2 linked regions of the Caenorhabditis elegans genome follow. The protein of the gene in region 1 interacts with the protein of each later gene in a pairwise test. Each region holds a gene or a part of one and is shown on either strand. Other genes may lie near its edges. The genes, in order: aldo-1 and F58B4.5.

What was found.
Region 2: the proteins of aldo-1 (region 1) and F58B4.5 interact in a two-hybrid assay, tested with the Caenorhabditis elegans proteins (one large-scale study listed by BioGRID).

The regions. Positions count from the first base shown.
Region 1 is NC_003281.10:13,560,249-13,568,388, reverse strand, and holds aldo-1 (Fructose-bisphosphate aldolase 1), read left to right. Parts: upstream 1-3,451; 5' UTR 3,452-3,469; coding exon 3,470-3,563; intron 3,564-3,663; coding exon 3,664-4,139; intron 4,140-4,378; coding exon 4,379-4,906; 3' UTR 4,907-5,043; downstream 5,044-8,140. Other genes in the region: exc-12 (Protein PNS1), read left to right, coding at 1-30, 389-529, 627-734, 1,243-1,435; T05D4.2 (F-box associated domain-containing protein), read left to right, coding at 5,353-5,453, 5,622-6,465. UniProt on the Caenorhabditis elegans protein: May be involved in the metabolism of fructose-bisphosphate (beta-D-fructose 1,6-bisphosphate) and of fructose 1-phosphate.
Region 2 is NC_003283.11:10,929,052-10,936,870, forward strand, and holds F58B4.5 (CHK kinase-like domain-containing protein), read left to right. Parts: upstream 1-3,641; 5' UTR 3,642-3,688; coding exon 3,689-3,829; intron 3,830-3,876; coding exon 3,877-4,146; intron 4,147-4,191; coding exon 4,192-4,680; intron 4,681-4,727; coding exon 4,728-4,997; intron 4,998-5,050; coding exon 5,051-5,152; 3' UTR 5,153-5,194; downstream 5,195-7,819. Other genes in the region: nssp-63 (UPAR/Ly6 domain-containing protein), read left to right, coding at 761-874, 927-1,016, 1,268-1,356, 1,414-1,498; scvp-1 (Secreted nematode Clade V Protein gene family), read right to left, coding at 1,727-1,945, 1,990-2,139, 2,194-2,238; F17C11.12 (Major facilitator superfamily (MFS) profile domain-containing protein), read right to left, coding at 5,224-5,322, 5,370-5,453, 5,594-6,014, 6,063-6,323, 6,669-6,848, 6,892-7,133, 7,183-7,316, 7,365-7,505 and 1 more.

The sequences.
Region 1 (8,140 bases):
ACAAACCAATTTGACTGGAACAAGAAGTTTGTGAGTGCTTTGTTGGTGTTTTTGAGGGTAAATTTCATAGAGTAGCGCCTGTGAGGAAAGTGTTTGAACTCATATGGTGACAAATTGACCGAATATCATAATATAACTTTTCAAAAAAAAATTTCAAAATTTTTTATTTACGGTCAAAAAGTGACAATTACTCAGGTTTGCCACTCATAATTTTGGAAATTTTTTGGATTGTTTTATTATGATATACGGTCGTTTTGGATTGTAAGTGTATTTAGACAAAATCCCCAATGGCGATACTCCACTTTTAACCACGTGGTATTCTTATTTGGTTGATTGATACAATTTGCACACACACACGAAAACTATTGTCAACATTTAAATGTTTCAGATCTGATTCCTCAACAATGTATGCATATGGTTTAAAAGAATCAATCGTGTTCGTATTTGTGGTAATTGTTGCAATTTTCTCTTTAATCGTTGCGACACAAAACTGCTCACAAATGATGCTCGCTGCTATAATTGGCCAAGGGTACGTTCGTTTTTTTCTGTTTAAAATTTTATTCAGTTAATTAAATTTTACCCAGATTTTTGTTGAAATTTTTATAATTTCTACAATTTATTTTCAGAATATGCATATTATCAATATCTAGTGAACTATTCACTTCTGAACGGATCTCTGCAATTTTTAACGAATTGAAAAGTTTTGAAACTGCCGGATCTACTATTGAAATTGGGTGAGTTTTGGGAACTCAATTTTTTTACTAGAATTTCTAGCATTTCGGGAAATTTTGAAGGGACTTCTAAAATGCACTGTTTAAATCATTCCAGCAGCAAATAAAAAAATCCGAAAATGTTTAGAATTTAATTTTTAAAAATTATTTTTAAGAACGTTTGGCGCAAAAGTGAAACTTTTTAACTTTAGAGAAGAATCATGAAAATCAGTGCAAAATTAAAATTTTAATATTTCAGAAAAGATGATGCAAAGGCATAAAATTGGACATTTAAATTTTCAACAAAAAAATACTAGACATAAAATTTAAATTCTAAGTTTTCCAAAACTTTATCGCTACAAATTTCAGTTTAAAAAAATTTTGCGCTAAATTCAAATTGAAATAATTCAAAAATAAATTGGTGCAAAAGTCAAATTTTAAACCGTCTTTTCTGGTTTTCAATTTTAAAATCTCTTGTCCAAAGTTAAGAAAACTCAGTTCTTCAAAATTAAACCAATAAAAAACCTTGCAGAATAGTCCTCTTAAACGGGTGTGCAGTGGTGTCACTACTCGTATTGGTCCTTCAATTGATTGTCTTTGTATTCTGCGTCTCTCCAATCTCCACACTCTCTGCCTCGTCAATCGGTTCTACGAATTCCTTACTTTTACTTGACAACAATCGAAATCCCAGTGGCAGCAATCGAGTCGAGAGAACCGCGTTTTGAACGTTTGCTCAACTTTCTCCGCTCTTCCCCTTTTTCACTTTTTCTCCAATTCTTTCAAAAAATAAAACTATTTCTTCATTTTTATTTTACTCTAAACTCAAAAATATTGGCCACATTCATTTAGACAAAGAACAACTGTCAACTATGGGTCAACATTTGACAGACATGAGCATTTCACGTGGGAAATGGCCAGATAGAGCATTACCTAGAGAAAATACTTTTTTCTATGTTCGTCTTACACTTCTCATCTATCTATATACAGGAAGAGCTTTTCGATAATCGAGTTTTTCAAAACAGTTTGTTGCTTTTTTTTTGGAATTGCTTAAATTTTCAGCTAATTGAGAATACGCTTGGTTAAAATTTTAAAACTTTTTACATTCCAAAAGCTTCTAAAACTTGCCAGTAACAACTTTTTCTCAATTCCGAGCTACGGTTTTCCCGCATTTTTCAAACATCTTTTTTTTTTAAGTTCCCAATATTTTTTTTTCAAAGATTTTGACAAAAACCATTTTTTCCGGCAAATTGCCGAAATTGAAATTTCCGGATCCCCTCTGATTCAAACTCTGAAAATTAGAAGAATATATATGTTAGTCGTGATAAGATGTTGCTTTTATAGATTTTGCAAGGCATTCTACCTAAATTTCCAATGGTTAAGTTTTCTTTGTGCACATTCAAATTCTGGGTCCATGAAGAAAAAAAAACAATTTCATAACCCTTCTACGTTTTCTCTAAACTCTCACTATTCGCACAATTGCATCATGCCTCCTCCATATTGCCATCTCACGCAAAAAAGCACATAGCCATTCTCAAAATATCTTTTTCACATCACGTCGTTTTCTATTCGCTGTCTTTTTTGTTGTACCCATGTTATAGTTTTGACATAGAAGCTCATTTTATTTACAAAAATGAATACATAGATGTATTGCTTGTTTTACATAAGATCCTCTTCTTGTTTTTTTTTGTCATGATTTGTCGTAGATTTTGAATTGTTTTATTAGTACGTGCCTCGCATGTTCTCGTACTTATAGTAGCCTTATAGGTCTTACGAGAATGCCCAGGGAATAAACAGAGCAGGGGTATACGGCAAATTTGCCAAATTTGCCGTTTGCTGAGCTCGGTAACTTTGCTGAATTTGCCGAGCAAGACAAATTTCAAAAAAGTAGATTTGTTAAATTTTCCGAGCTCTGCAAATTTCGATATTTGCCGCACATGCCAAAGTTTTGACATTACAACTTTGACCAAAACCATTGGTTTTGTCCCCAAAAATTGAGTAAAATGACACAAAATTGAGTTATTTTGATAATTAATACAGAGCGAGTTACGGAATATGGCAAACGAAAATGCAGTTTACTCTAGTTTTTTTTTAAATATAACTATGTGGTCTAAACCCTATAATATTGGAAAACTAGGTAAATTGTGTTTTTATCGTAGGGGCAAGTTGGCTCATTTTCGAATTAAAAAAAAAAAACAAAATGTGCCAAGTAGGGTCGATTCCTCTGAAAAACGATTGCATCATTCCAAATTTCGTAATCTCTTTTACATTATTTCAATTTCAGACTACTCCAATGAGTCCTAAACTAGGCTCGAGCTCATAGCCCGGCTGCTCTAAGTACGCCAGAGGCATATGTCTGAAAAGCAATTTCAACTTTCATATCTTCATATCTCCGCACGCTTCCGTGAACCAAATCAAATCAAATCCTCCAACGTTGAAAAGTTCAAGACTTTGGCAATTCCTGCTCCTCTCGCTTCTTCAAACTATTTCTCACGTTCTGCTCCAACAGCAGTTCTTCTTCTTTTACTTCTCACAAAATTTCGTGCAAATCACGTAGGGCCCCTCAATTCCCTCTCGCCACTCTGCACGGCTTCTCACACACTCTTGCTCTCTCGCCAGGGGCTCTCCGTCTCCCTTCTCGGCGGTGCCATCGATTCGTTTGGCGCGAGAGAGAAAGCTCCGGCTCTTTTCACTTTTATCAGCGGCCCTTGTTTTTCACCGACTTCACTCTTGCACATTTTCAGGCAACTTCATTTTCTAAAATGGCTTCTTACTCGCAATTCTTGACCAAGGCCCAGGAGGACGAACTCCGCTCCATCGCCAACGCCATCGTCACCCCAGGAAAGGGAATTCTCGGTAAGTAACGATATTAAATTTGGGAAACAAAATTTGGCATTTTGTGTGTTACAAATCTAATCTCTAATCTCTCCAATCTCCCTGAAATTCGAATTTGCAGCCGCCGATGAGTCCACCGGATCCATGGACAAGCGTCTTAACAGCATCGGACTCGAGAACACCGAGGAGAACCGCCGCAAGTATCGTCAACTTCTGTTTACCGCCGGAGCCGACCTCAACAAGTACATCTCGGGAGTCATCATGTTCCACGAGACATTCTACCAAAAGACCGACGACGGAAAGCCATTCACTGCTCTTCTCCAGGAGCAAGGAATCATTCCAGGAATCAAGGTTGACAAGGGTGTCGTCCCAATGGCCGGAACCATCGGAGAGGGAACCACTCAGGGATTGGATGACTTGAATGCTCGTTGCGCTCAATACAAGAAAGACGGAGCACAGTTCGCCAAGTGGAGATGCGTGCACAAGATCTCATCTACGACTCCATCAGTGACTGCTCTTAAGGAAATTGCCTCCAACTTGGCTCGCTATGCTTCAATTTGCCAACAAAATGGACTTGTACCAATTGTTGAGCCAGAGGTAATTACCGAGAGTCGAGAGCCGAGAGTCGCACAGCACTGGTACCTACCCACCTAAGTTCCTTTTGGGGGGATGTAGTCGTAGATCGGCTTGAATGTAATACTTAGAACGGTTTTCACAGAAAATTTTAATATTCGATGCAAAACCCAAGTTAATGCCACGTCCGTTACTTGGGTCTCGCAGCAGTTTTTTTTTTGTAAAAAAAATATAATTGGCACTCTAATTAGTTATCATTTCAGATCCTCCCAGACGGTGAACACTGCTTGGCTCGCGGACAGAAGATCACCGAGACCGTGCTCTCATATGTGTACCACGCTCTCAACGAGCATCACGTCTTCCTCGAGGGAACCCTCCTCAAGCCAAACATGGTCACCTCCGGACAATCATTCACCGGCGAGAAGCCATCGAATGCCGATATCGGACTCGCCACCGTCACCGCCCTCCAACGCGGAGTCCCATCCGCCGTTCCAGGAGTCGTCTTCCTCTCCGGTGGACAATCCGAAGAGGATGCCACATTGAACTTGAACGCCATCAATCAAGTGAGCGGAAAGAAGCCATGGGCCCTCACATTCTCCTATGGACGTGCTCTTCAAGCCTCCTGTCTCGCCAAGTGGGCCGGAAAGGACGAGAACATCGCAGCCGCCCAAGAAGTCCTGCTCCATCGTGCTCAGGTCAACTCCCTTGCCTCTGTCGGAAAATACACCGGGGATGCTTCAGCTGACGCAGCCGCTTCCCAATCCCTCTTCGTCGCCAATCATTCTTATTAAATGGCCACGCTCAGGATCTCTTTTTTCTCATTTTTTAAAACTATTCAACGCACGTAGAATTATGTGTCTGTATACCCCTTTAATTGTCATTATTTGCTTCTCTAAGTCTCTTCGGATTTAATAAATCTTTGGTAGATACGAATGCACAATTAAAGAGAGATGTATCTTTGGAACATTTGATTCAAGCAGACAGACAATTGAGCGATGGCTCGTCGCGATGCATTCATAGTGATGACGTCAAGATGTCTTCTACTACTCACTATTCCTTGTAGGTTTATGTGTCTGCTCAATTGTTGAGAACAGAAGGTGCCTAGTGTAAGTGCGAGAGAACAATTTCCCAGTGGAGCCGTTTAACCTTGGGCAGGTGCGATGCACATTTTCAGATCGATATCTAACCAGTTGCACACTATTCGCAACGCATTACAGCCATTCATTTGTCCATTGCAATGTACTACCGCGAAGTGAGAGGATCTGAGATCTTCTATACCAAGTACTATGGTCCGCCAACTGAAAAGGATACCTTGGCTGCCAAGAACCCTTTTGAAATGTAAGTGTTTTTAAAACTAAATTTTCTAAATTTCCAATAGTAAATGTGTTACACCCTGTCGTTGGATTGTTTTTGTTTTCCAAGTTGTTTGATCTTCAGAAATCGACTAACCGAGATTTTTAAAAGTCAAACGAATAAATCAAACAAAACCAATATAAACATTTCCAGGATGGACTATGCCTTAAAATCCCCGGAGCACCTAACTTCCGCCCATTCATACACAAAGAATAACCACTGTCAATGCTATGAAATCGCAGTCGATATCTGTTCTGAGCCACGTGTTCGTGTGAAGGGTCTAGACCGTTGTTGGGAGTACCAGATCCAATCTACCGTGAATGCTCCGCCAACTCCTGGAGAGATGCGAGTCATTGAATTTCTCAAGGTTTACACTACGCGTATGTATTCAGAAGATAAGATTGAAGGACTAAAGAAGTGGACGGAGAACGTAACTAATGTACTAGACTTTCCAATTCATACGATCAACTTCTCACTGGACGCCTTTCCCCAGCAAAACCGAGAAATCATCGATTGGCTTGCCAAAATTAGAAAGGACATTCCAGACGTTAACATTTTCGGGAGCAATGTGGTAAATGAAGATTTGCTCTATTTACTCCAAACTGTCAATATCACCGATAGCGTCGAGTTCCACTTGGATACCGCTGAAATATTTCCTTACGACATCCCAGTCCGCGCCAAGTACTTCTTGAGCTCTCAAACAAAATGGATTAGCATCAAGCAACTTATGAAGCTGGAGTGCACTGATATCATCGCAAACGACACTGATTTCACTGACGAGGAGCTAAGCACGTTCATTTTGAGTTGGATGAAAATGGAAACAAATGAGAATTTGACTTCTTTGATGACTCCGATCAAGTCCCCTAAGGCGGTTCTTAGCAAGTTACCTCATGTGATTGATGCGAAGGGTAACGTTATTCTGACGCGGGATAATGAAAAGAGAGTCTGTTTCTACATCTTGGAGAAAAATGGACTGAAAAAGCTCATAATGAGATAAAATTTTAAATATTTTTTTGGCGAATAGTAGATATTTTTTTCATTGTATTTATGCTTTCCGAAAAACAAGCTATGTATGTTTCTCTTTTTAATTTTCGTGATATAACACTCTTCTTAAAGTTTACTATTTCAATTCACATATGCCAAAAAGTGTAAATTCTGAATATCCTTTTATTACAATAAACATGTTCACCTACTCTTGCAACGTGAAGCGTTTTTTTTTCAATTTCTGACTAAAAATTCGTTTAATACGGTATCAGGTCTCGACACGATCAAAAAATTTCTGTATTCTCTATTTCAGCACAGGTTTTTTCACGAAAGCATTTTAGCGGGTTTTTTAAAATTTTCTAGGGTCTTTTAAGTTCAATTGGTATTTTTTTTAATTAATTAAAAATTTTAATTCTATATCACTTTCAAAATAAATAATACCAATTGTATTGCATTTCATAACATTAATGACTACAGTACACTTTAAAGGCGCATCGCTCAAAGTTACAAATCAGGTCTCGTCGCGAACTTTATTTGCGAGCAAGACATTTATTTTTTTAAACCTTTTCAGGCTTTGTTTCTCCATTTTCTTCGATTTTCATTCATTTTTCTATGATTTCTCTATTTTATTGTGAAAATATGTACTTTTCGTTGTTTTATAACCGTTTTGCTGTTTAAAATAGATAGCATCTGCATTTCCGAGTAGTTTTCCTCTTTGTCGAACTTGAGAATTTGTTTTCGAGGCATTATTGATGATTTAACAAGTCATTCTGAGTTTAACTTGTTAACTTTTAAATGTTTGCCGTAATTTTTGTAAAATTTCCAAGAAAAGCCCCAATTTTATTCAGATATTAGAGAATTCCGTGCTAAATCCGAAGTATTACAGTAAATAGGCCGGCAAAAACCGTAAAATCGAGAGAATATAGCCACGAAACGTAGAGAAAACAGAGAAAATCCTTGGGATATTCTCTCTTCCGAATCATGACCCGATTCCGAATACTTTCGCTATTTTCTCCCCGCGTTGCGCACGGCTTCCTCATTTTCTACCTCATATTTTAGTTTTTTTTTAAATATATTTTTTTGAAAAATGAGTCAATTATGTACTTTTTTCCACAGAAAGCTACACTTTCAATTAAAAATGATGTCATTTAAACCGAAAAACCTTGAACATGATCGGCGACATGACTTTAGAGAGAAAAATGAATTTTGCCATGACACAGTCGAAAAAGAAAATGGAGACACTTGTTTCTTGTGTTTTTATTGAAATTAGGCCGCGAAGTTTTTGTGTTTTCTTAAACATTGTTGTCAAGAGTGCAAAGAAAACAGAGTTCTTGTCGAGTTTTCTGAATTTCATTAAATTTTTCTATTAAAATCGATTAATTTTCGGTACTCCACCCTTAAATTTCTTAGAATTTTCTGGAAAACGATTGTTAATTCATGTATTGAGCATTGAGCATCTCTAACTAGAAACAAAATAATCAAAGTATTTTCCCCCGTATCATTCATCTATTCCATCACTAATCTAACCTAGCAAAATTTATATACGGCCATAAATTTCCTGTGACAACGACGGCGAACCGTATCCGCGCCTAATTTGCATACAATTTCACAGAATGCCCATAAAAACATTCCTTTCCAAATGGCGTTGGCAACAACACAAACCCAACGTCCATTTCTGACTTTTTGCC
Region 2 (7,819 bases), on another chromosome or scaffold:
CATACCACCTGATCCTTCTAGGGCTTCACTTATATCATTAACCACCAACGATTTGAAGAAAACACGTCTGGCATATCCATATTCGTATTAGCCATTGCCCGAAATCAAAAAATATCCAATCAACTTGTAAAGTTGCGCCGGCTCTTTTTTCCTGCATTTTCTAATTTACCCCTATATAGATTTCGTTTTTTTTTCTTACGAAACACTATACAACTGTTTTTATCATGTGATACATTGTCATAAAAGTCCCAAAAGTAGCTCTTCAGCTCCTCCCTTTGCTCATTTTTTCTCTACTTGGCTCCGCCCACTATCAGCTAACAAGTAAGCTCAGTGGCAGTAGACACTACAGTGATGAAGAGAACAGAGTACAACAGCACAGCGTCTCCTCCTCTTTTTCCATTTTCTCATTTAACTCTATTTTCTCTTCTTTTCTCCAACTTTTTTCGATTCCACCTGTCTCTTGTTTCGCATCGGTTGCCATTGTTACGGCGAGCTGCCACTCGAGCTCACTTTGCCCATGCCTTATCATATGATTGTAAATTGAGAGAGAAAGAGGGCCCATCGTCCATCGTGAGCTTTCACACTTTGTGCGCACACACTCACACCGGAAATTTCGGTGTCACACAGCAAATTGGAAACAAAGTGTCCGCCCATATCCTATCTCCGATTGAGCCTCTCTTTCTGATATTCATTCTCTCAGCCACTTGAAGGGCTTCTCACCTTTTCACTTTCAACCAGAAATATTTTTTTTATCTTCAGAATGCTTCGCCCAATCTTCATCACCCTTGCCATTGCCGTTTACACTGCATTTGCTCTACAGTGCCATGTAGTTCCAGCTGGAAACCTCTCCGTTCCAGATACCTCCCAGCGTCAGGTATAAAACTTATTTTTTTCATATTTAAAAATAGATATTTTTCCAATTTCAGGAGTGTGGTATCGGATCATTGACATGCGTCAAAGTTGTCGACTTCACCCGGGGAACCTATACCAAGCAATGCCAAACCATGAACTGCACAGTGAGTGATAAAAAAATTAGAAATCAAACATTCCGTCAGTTTCCCATGGTTACCATAGCTGCGTTTAACGCGAAGTTCTAGCTTCTCACCTGCTGGCACTGACAACAAGTATCACATGATCTTGCTCTCACCGTAGGGAATATATGTATGCGCGAGAGCTATTCTCATTAGCGAAAGCTAGAAGTCGTGGGAATATCTGGCAAACTAATATTAGATGTATAGTTGAAATGATACGAAAGTCTATTTTTCAGTTGAACGGAATGCAAAATGCCGCAGCCAACTGCCAGAACTCTTCAGCTTTCGGAGTCAATGGGGCCACTTGCTGCTGCTACGGAGATGGGTAATAATGAATAAAACTATGTGGATTGACCGAATAATAATTCCAATACATTTTCAGATGTAACTCTTCCCCGAAAACTGGAATTGTGTCAGCTGTTGGAATAACTCTCGGCTTCATCTCTCTAATGAAAATCATGACATAAAGTCGCATTGTCTAGGGAGATCGTTAATGTTTTCTTTTTCATTTTTTTGTCCAATTCCTCATAATCGTACCGTTCCCAAGTCTTCTCAAAAAATCTCATATTTTGCCATCAAATTTTTATCCAGTGATAGACATATGTTTTTATAATCATCCCGTTTGTAATGCTTCTCTGAACATAATTTATTCCAATGTAAAGTCCAATTAATAAATTCGAAAAAGAAAACAGAAATCAGAGAATTTGAGTCTTTTCTCCATCACATTTCAGAACAGCATATGAAAGTTCATTTGAGTGCTTCTTTGCTCCTTTAACAAAACGGCGAACTTCATCACATCTTGCGTCATCACGGATCTCAAAAAGAACTGCAAACTTTCCTCCGTGATCAATAATTGATTGTTTGATATTGTCAGATGGGTACCTAATATTCTCCTTTTTGGAATAATCATCAACCTGAAAATGATAATTTTTGTTCGTGGCCCAAAGCGGATACTCACAGCATCTTTCACAATTTTCAAATTGGAAGCATTCTTTTCCGGATCAAAAGATCTATTTGATACCAACTCCACAGTTATATTGACAATCGGCGGTGGCTCAAATCCACTTCCTTCTTCCGTCAAAAGTTGGTCGTCCAAAGCACAAAAGCCCTGAAAATATTTTTTCAAGACAGAAAATGAGAAAACCGTCATCTATTCACTCACCAAGCAGACTACAGAAGCAAATAGTAGTATATAGGATGTAATCATTTCTGATTTATCAGAAATTTTGTTCGCTTTTATAGAAGCGTGTTCTGTTTACTATTGATTTATGTGAATAGACAGATTCATGAATTTGATTTCACTTTCAGAGCAAATATTGGCTAGAGTAGAGAAGTCAATATATTTTCAATAAAAGTCCATTATTAGCATCTCGTAAGAAAGCCATGACTATACATCAAACTGGTAATGTTTATAAAAGATATGTTGAGTAAGAGCTTTTGGAGCATTGCAAAGGTATTTCATTTTTAAAAAATTTATTTAGAAACATTTTGCTAACTTTGAACCACATACATTTGCATTTTTTCTTTTGCTTCCAGGCAACTTTTTGAAACTTATTTGAAACGTGTTAACAGAATTTCCAAGATGTCAGAAAGATCAACGTTTTGACTTTGCCATCCCATACTGAATCTGCATAAACTAAATTAATTTGGAACAAAAAATGAAAGATTGGGACTGAATTATTAATATATTAGTTTTGAATCCTATATTATTTTAGCTTTCTTCCTTCCAGGCGATTTTTTTCGTTAGATATTTTTCTTCGTTTCTTGTCAATCAATTTTATATAAAATTAACAAAATCGCGACATGGTTTGAGGACGTTTAAAGAATTTGTTCCTGATTGGGATTGTAATACGTTAGCTCAAACACCAATTCCAAGAGCTCACTGATGTTGGCGGTCTTGATATGTGAACTGAACCAAGAAAACAAAAAGACATCACCTGTTCTTTAGATGAAAAAGGAAAAACACAAGATATATCTTACTATTAGTCGGGGTGATTTTAAATCAAGGTTGTTTAATAATCTGCATTTCATTTTCAAGATTTCAGAAAACTAAATGCCTGAAGAAGTTCAAGTCTGCAAAGAACCTGAAAAAAATCCATTTTTCATACTTCAAAACTCAAATACTTGTTTCGTTTAGAATTTTATCTCGATTCAAATCATAAAGTTTTCGATAAATATTCATAATCGGTGAATATTAATTTCTGAAGCATTCCCTGTAGGAAATAAGTCACAAAGTGGAAGTGTGATCAGTGCAAGTTTCAATTGAAATTTAAGATAAACATGACAACGCATTTGTGCATGTTCTTTGATATGAAATCTCATAATTTGGTTTTTTTTTTCGTTTTGGAAATCGATTTTCTCGCTGTGATCGTCATGAAGTCAAACAACCCGGATGTTTTAAAGATGCACTTTCTCCGAAAATTCCAGATTTTTTTCGGTTCCAAACCACGGTTTGAATTGTGAAAATGGTTTGTGCATGGCTTTTAAAAAATCAAACATTTCTCAACAGATAAGGCGTACCCAATCAACCTATCGATGAAATGCTCGCGATAAGGCGGTCATGCACGTGCTTATAAAACAACAGAGACAGTGTAGTTTTCAGTTAAAACTTTTAAATCAGCATTTACATCATCTTTTTTCTTGAAAAGGCAGTTGTAATGTCGTTGTATACTGTTGCTGATGGACTTCTTGGAACTCATGTTACCTGGGAAGATGTGCTGGAAGAAATGCAAAAGGCATTGGATACAACTGCCACTTTTGGAGATGACAAAACTGCCACAAATATCAGTGATATGAAGGTATTTGATTCACTTTGTACTTATAATATTCGACGTTCACATTTTAGGGATTCATGTCCAAAATAGCTCTGGTCGAACCAAAGTGGGTAGGGGCTTCTGAAAACGAGGAACTGCCTGAAAAGTTTGTGGTCAAGATTTCATCTCAACTTCCATTCATTGAAATGACCAAGCTTATGGATTTTTCTTCCGGTGATGAGTTTTGGGATGATGCAAAACTGAAAGGAATGGGAGAAGTTACAAGATTGCTTCATAATAGAGAAGTTGCCACGTACAAGATTTTGATGAGAGAAAAGCATCCAAAGATTCCATTCACGAAGGTGAATAAATTGATTTTACTTGAATTTTTACCTGAAAAACTTTAGGTTTACGCATCAAAGCCATTTGACGACGAGAATAAATTGAAGGCTTATTTGATTTCCGAATATTATCCAAATATTCATCATATTGGAATGCATGAAAGTATTCCAGCTGAAGATCTGATTCCAGTTATTCATGCAATTGCTGCATTTTCTGCGATTGGTATGAAATTAAGTGAAGAGGAGACAAAATATGCTCGCGGAGCCGACTTTTTGGATATTGTTTTTGGACAATTCATGGATGAGAAGTCAATTGAAAGAATGAATGTACTGCTTAAAGCGTCATTCCCAGAAGAGTATTTGGAGAAAGTTGAGGAAATGCTGAAAATCTACAAAGACTATTATTTCCAACCGCAAATGATCAAAAATTTCAAAAATACATGCCAATTCTTTGGTTATAAACCAGTTCTCACCCATTCTGATTTGTGGAGCTCAAACTTTTTGTGTACTCGAGATGGAGAAAAAGTTACATTGAAAGCGATTATTGATTTCCAGGTTAATTTAGATTTTTAGAAGCTTATTTCCAGATTTTTGAATTTCAGACAGTTTCAATCACAACTCCAGCACAAGACGTTGGCCGATTGTTTGCATCATGCTTATCAACAAAAGATAGAAGAGAAAAGGCAGATTTCTTGTTGGAAGAATACTACAATACATTTGTAAATGAACTTGATGGAATGGATGTTCCATATACATTCCAACAACTTAAAGATAGTTATCAAGTTTACTTCCCACTAATGACTACAATGGTTCTTCCTGGAATTGCACCAATGCTCCAACATTCAAATGTAACTGAAGAATACAAAGACTCTGTATGTTTAAATGTTCTACTTCTACGTACTTATTGAGAAAGAAAAAATTTCAGATGAAACAAGTGGCACTAGACAAAATGATTGGACTTCTTGAAGATGTTATCACAACTCACGAGAGCAATATTAAAAACTTCCCAAAATATTTTGAATTCTAAGTTCAGCAATAAACAAACTGTTTTAATAAAAGTTTTATTTGTATTGTTTTTTTTTCAATTATAATATGCATCTAAACTCGATCTTCTTCCTCTTCATCGTTCCCGATAGTCTTTGTTCTATTGACAATAAAATCCTCAAGAGGCTTGTTTTTTGTTTCAGGAATCAAAAACTGAAACGAAAAAAAAATTTTAATTAGAGAAAATTCGCTCAACTTACTCTGAAAAATATGAAATCAGCCAATCCGATGGCTAAAAGTATGGCGTATGGCAAAACTGGAAAGTCAATACCAGTGTACAAGTTCTGAAAATCAAGCGTTGGTTTTAAGTTTTTGATGGTCATATTTTTATTCAAGATTTCAGGCAGACTTAGTGTTGTTCTTCAGAATTCTGGTCTTAATTTTAAATCTATTCTACAGTTGTTTGAAATTTAAAAAAAATCACCAAGTGGAACACATGGGGAGCAAAAACAATTCCAAATCTTGAGCAAAGCTGAGCAGTTGAATATGAAATTGATCGAATTGCAGTTGGCATCAACTCATTTGAAGCAATACTTGCAACAATAATTGCTTGAGAAGTCATAGCACACGATAACAATACTCCTATTCTGATCAGCACAGAAAATGTTGCAGTTGTATCGGTTAAACAAAATGCAATAATTGCAACAATTATGGAAATAGTAACCACGCTACAAATTCCATGACACATTTTTCTGTCAAATTTCTCAAATTTGTAATCCAAGAGTCCACTGAACAAGCTGAATGAGTAACGTAGAAGTCCAATGAGAATAGAGTTCATGTATATTGAACCAGCGACAGCTCCCAGATTGAACATAATTGAATAATTAATTAATGTAGTTGCAAAACTAAGAAATTAACATGAGCACAAACCCAGAAACATTTTTCAAACTCACAATGTAAATGCAATGACAAAAGTACCCGTCATGATTTCTTTCGTTTTGAAAAGATGCCAAAATGAATGTTGTTTTCCAACTTCTGTATTTCCATCAGCAACTTGTTTGTCATGTTCATTTTCCAAAAAGTTTTCAAGTTCAGTTTCATTCAATGATTTTGCTGCAGGAACTCCATCGAATTTTTCAATGGCGAGAAACACCTTTTTAGCATGAGAAATTTGTCCTTTTTGCATCAACCATCGAGGACTTTCGTGGAGAAAACTGGAAAATTTTCAATTATTAATTGTTTCAGTTTGACTTTGAATGACTCAAGTGATCTCACAAACTTGTATGGTTCGAGGAGTTCTAGTTCGCAATCTATAAGAAAAGTTCAAACTCCACAGTATATTCAAAATGGTTTAGAGAGAAGTAGTGTCTAGTTTTTGTTGGAAAAAATACAGTATCAAATTCAATAACAACAAAACACATTCCGGTCAGAAGTGGTTTTGCTCAATAGTGAACCTCTCTGTTGGACATTTTCCATAACTTATATGTGACCAAAAGTTACCAAATTTGGTTAAAACTTTGTTTTTTCAAAATAATTTCAACTCATGGAAGAAAACTTACGCCAACATTATAATTGCTGGAACTGTCAGAAATGAGATAACTAAAGCCAATCGATCCCATTGTTGGAAGAAGAATGCAAGAATTCCCAGGAGAATCACATTTGGAGAATAACTAATTAATGTAGAAATATAGCCTCTTGTGCGTTTTGGAATGTTTTCTATCATATACACAACTGAGATTCTGAAACAAATTTGAGATTAAGCCAACGGAATTCAAGTCTTACGTGCTCTGTCCACCATTGAAAAAACAAAGAATTGTTCGAAAAATTGTAAACTTTTTGAAATCAGCTGACAACGCTGACATTATCCCAAAAATGAAACACATGCAGAGACAAAACATCATTGGTGTTTTTCTACCATATTGATCCCCGATTTGTCCAAACACAACACATCCCAACATAACTCCGAGCATTTGTATCGATGTTCCCAACTTTTCCAGTTTTGCATCCTCACACAACAATTTGAACTTAAATACTGAGATTTTTTAATTCAGGTAATTTTGTTTTTAACCTAACCTGTTCGGTAATTCCATAAAATTGTCTTTCGAAAGTCATTTCTTTCTGCTCTTTACAGTAACTGTAATGTAAACATGCTTCTTCGTTTGAAGAAAATGTCATATTGCCACACGATTTTATAGTTGGAGCCGCTCCTGGAAATAATTCATTTGCTTTTAAAAAAAAATTTTTTGGAGCTATACCTGCATAAACCATAAGCATGGTATTTGATAATTGTGATAACATGGCGACTTCTACAAAAATACATAGTAAAATTGAATATCTTCCCATTTTAAGAAGATCATCGCTGTGAACTGTATTATACATTGTACCGGTATTTGTTTCTGAAAAATGATCGATTAGTAGAATTCAAAAATAATCGATATATTTGCAACAGACTCTCAAGAATTTGCAAGCTTTCTTCGTTGTCGCATTTTTCCGTTTTCTGAGATGATGTCATTTTATTGGTAGCCAACGGTTTTTGGCTGGGCAACTTCGAGGAAATACTGGACTAGTATAATATGATGGGCAGTTGAAGAGAGAGAGAGAAAAATTATAGTTGCAGAGAGAACTGTTCAATGGGATTATTATAATGTTAAACACTAGAGATAGCACACCGCCATGTTATCTTTGAAATGTGTTTTTATGAGTGCTCGAT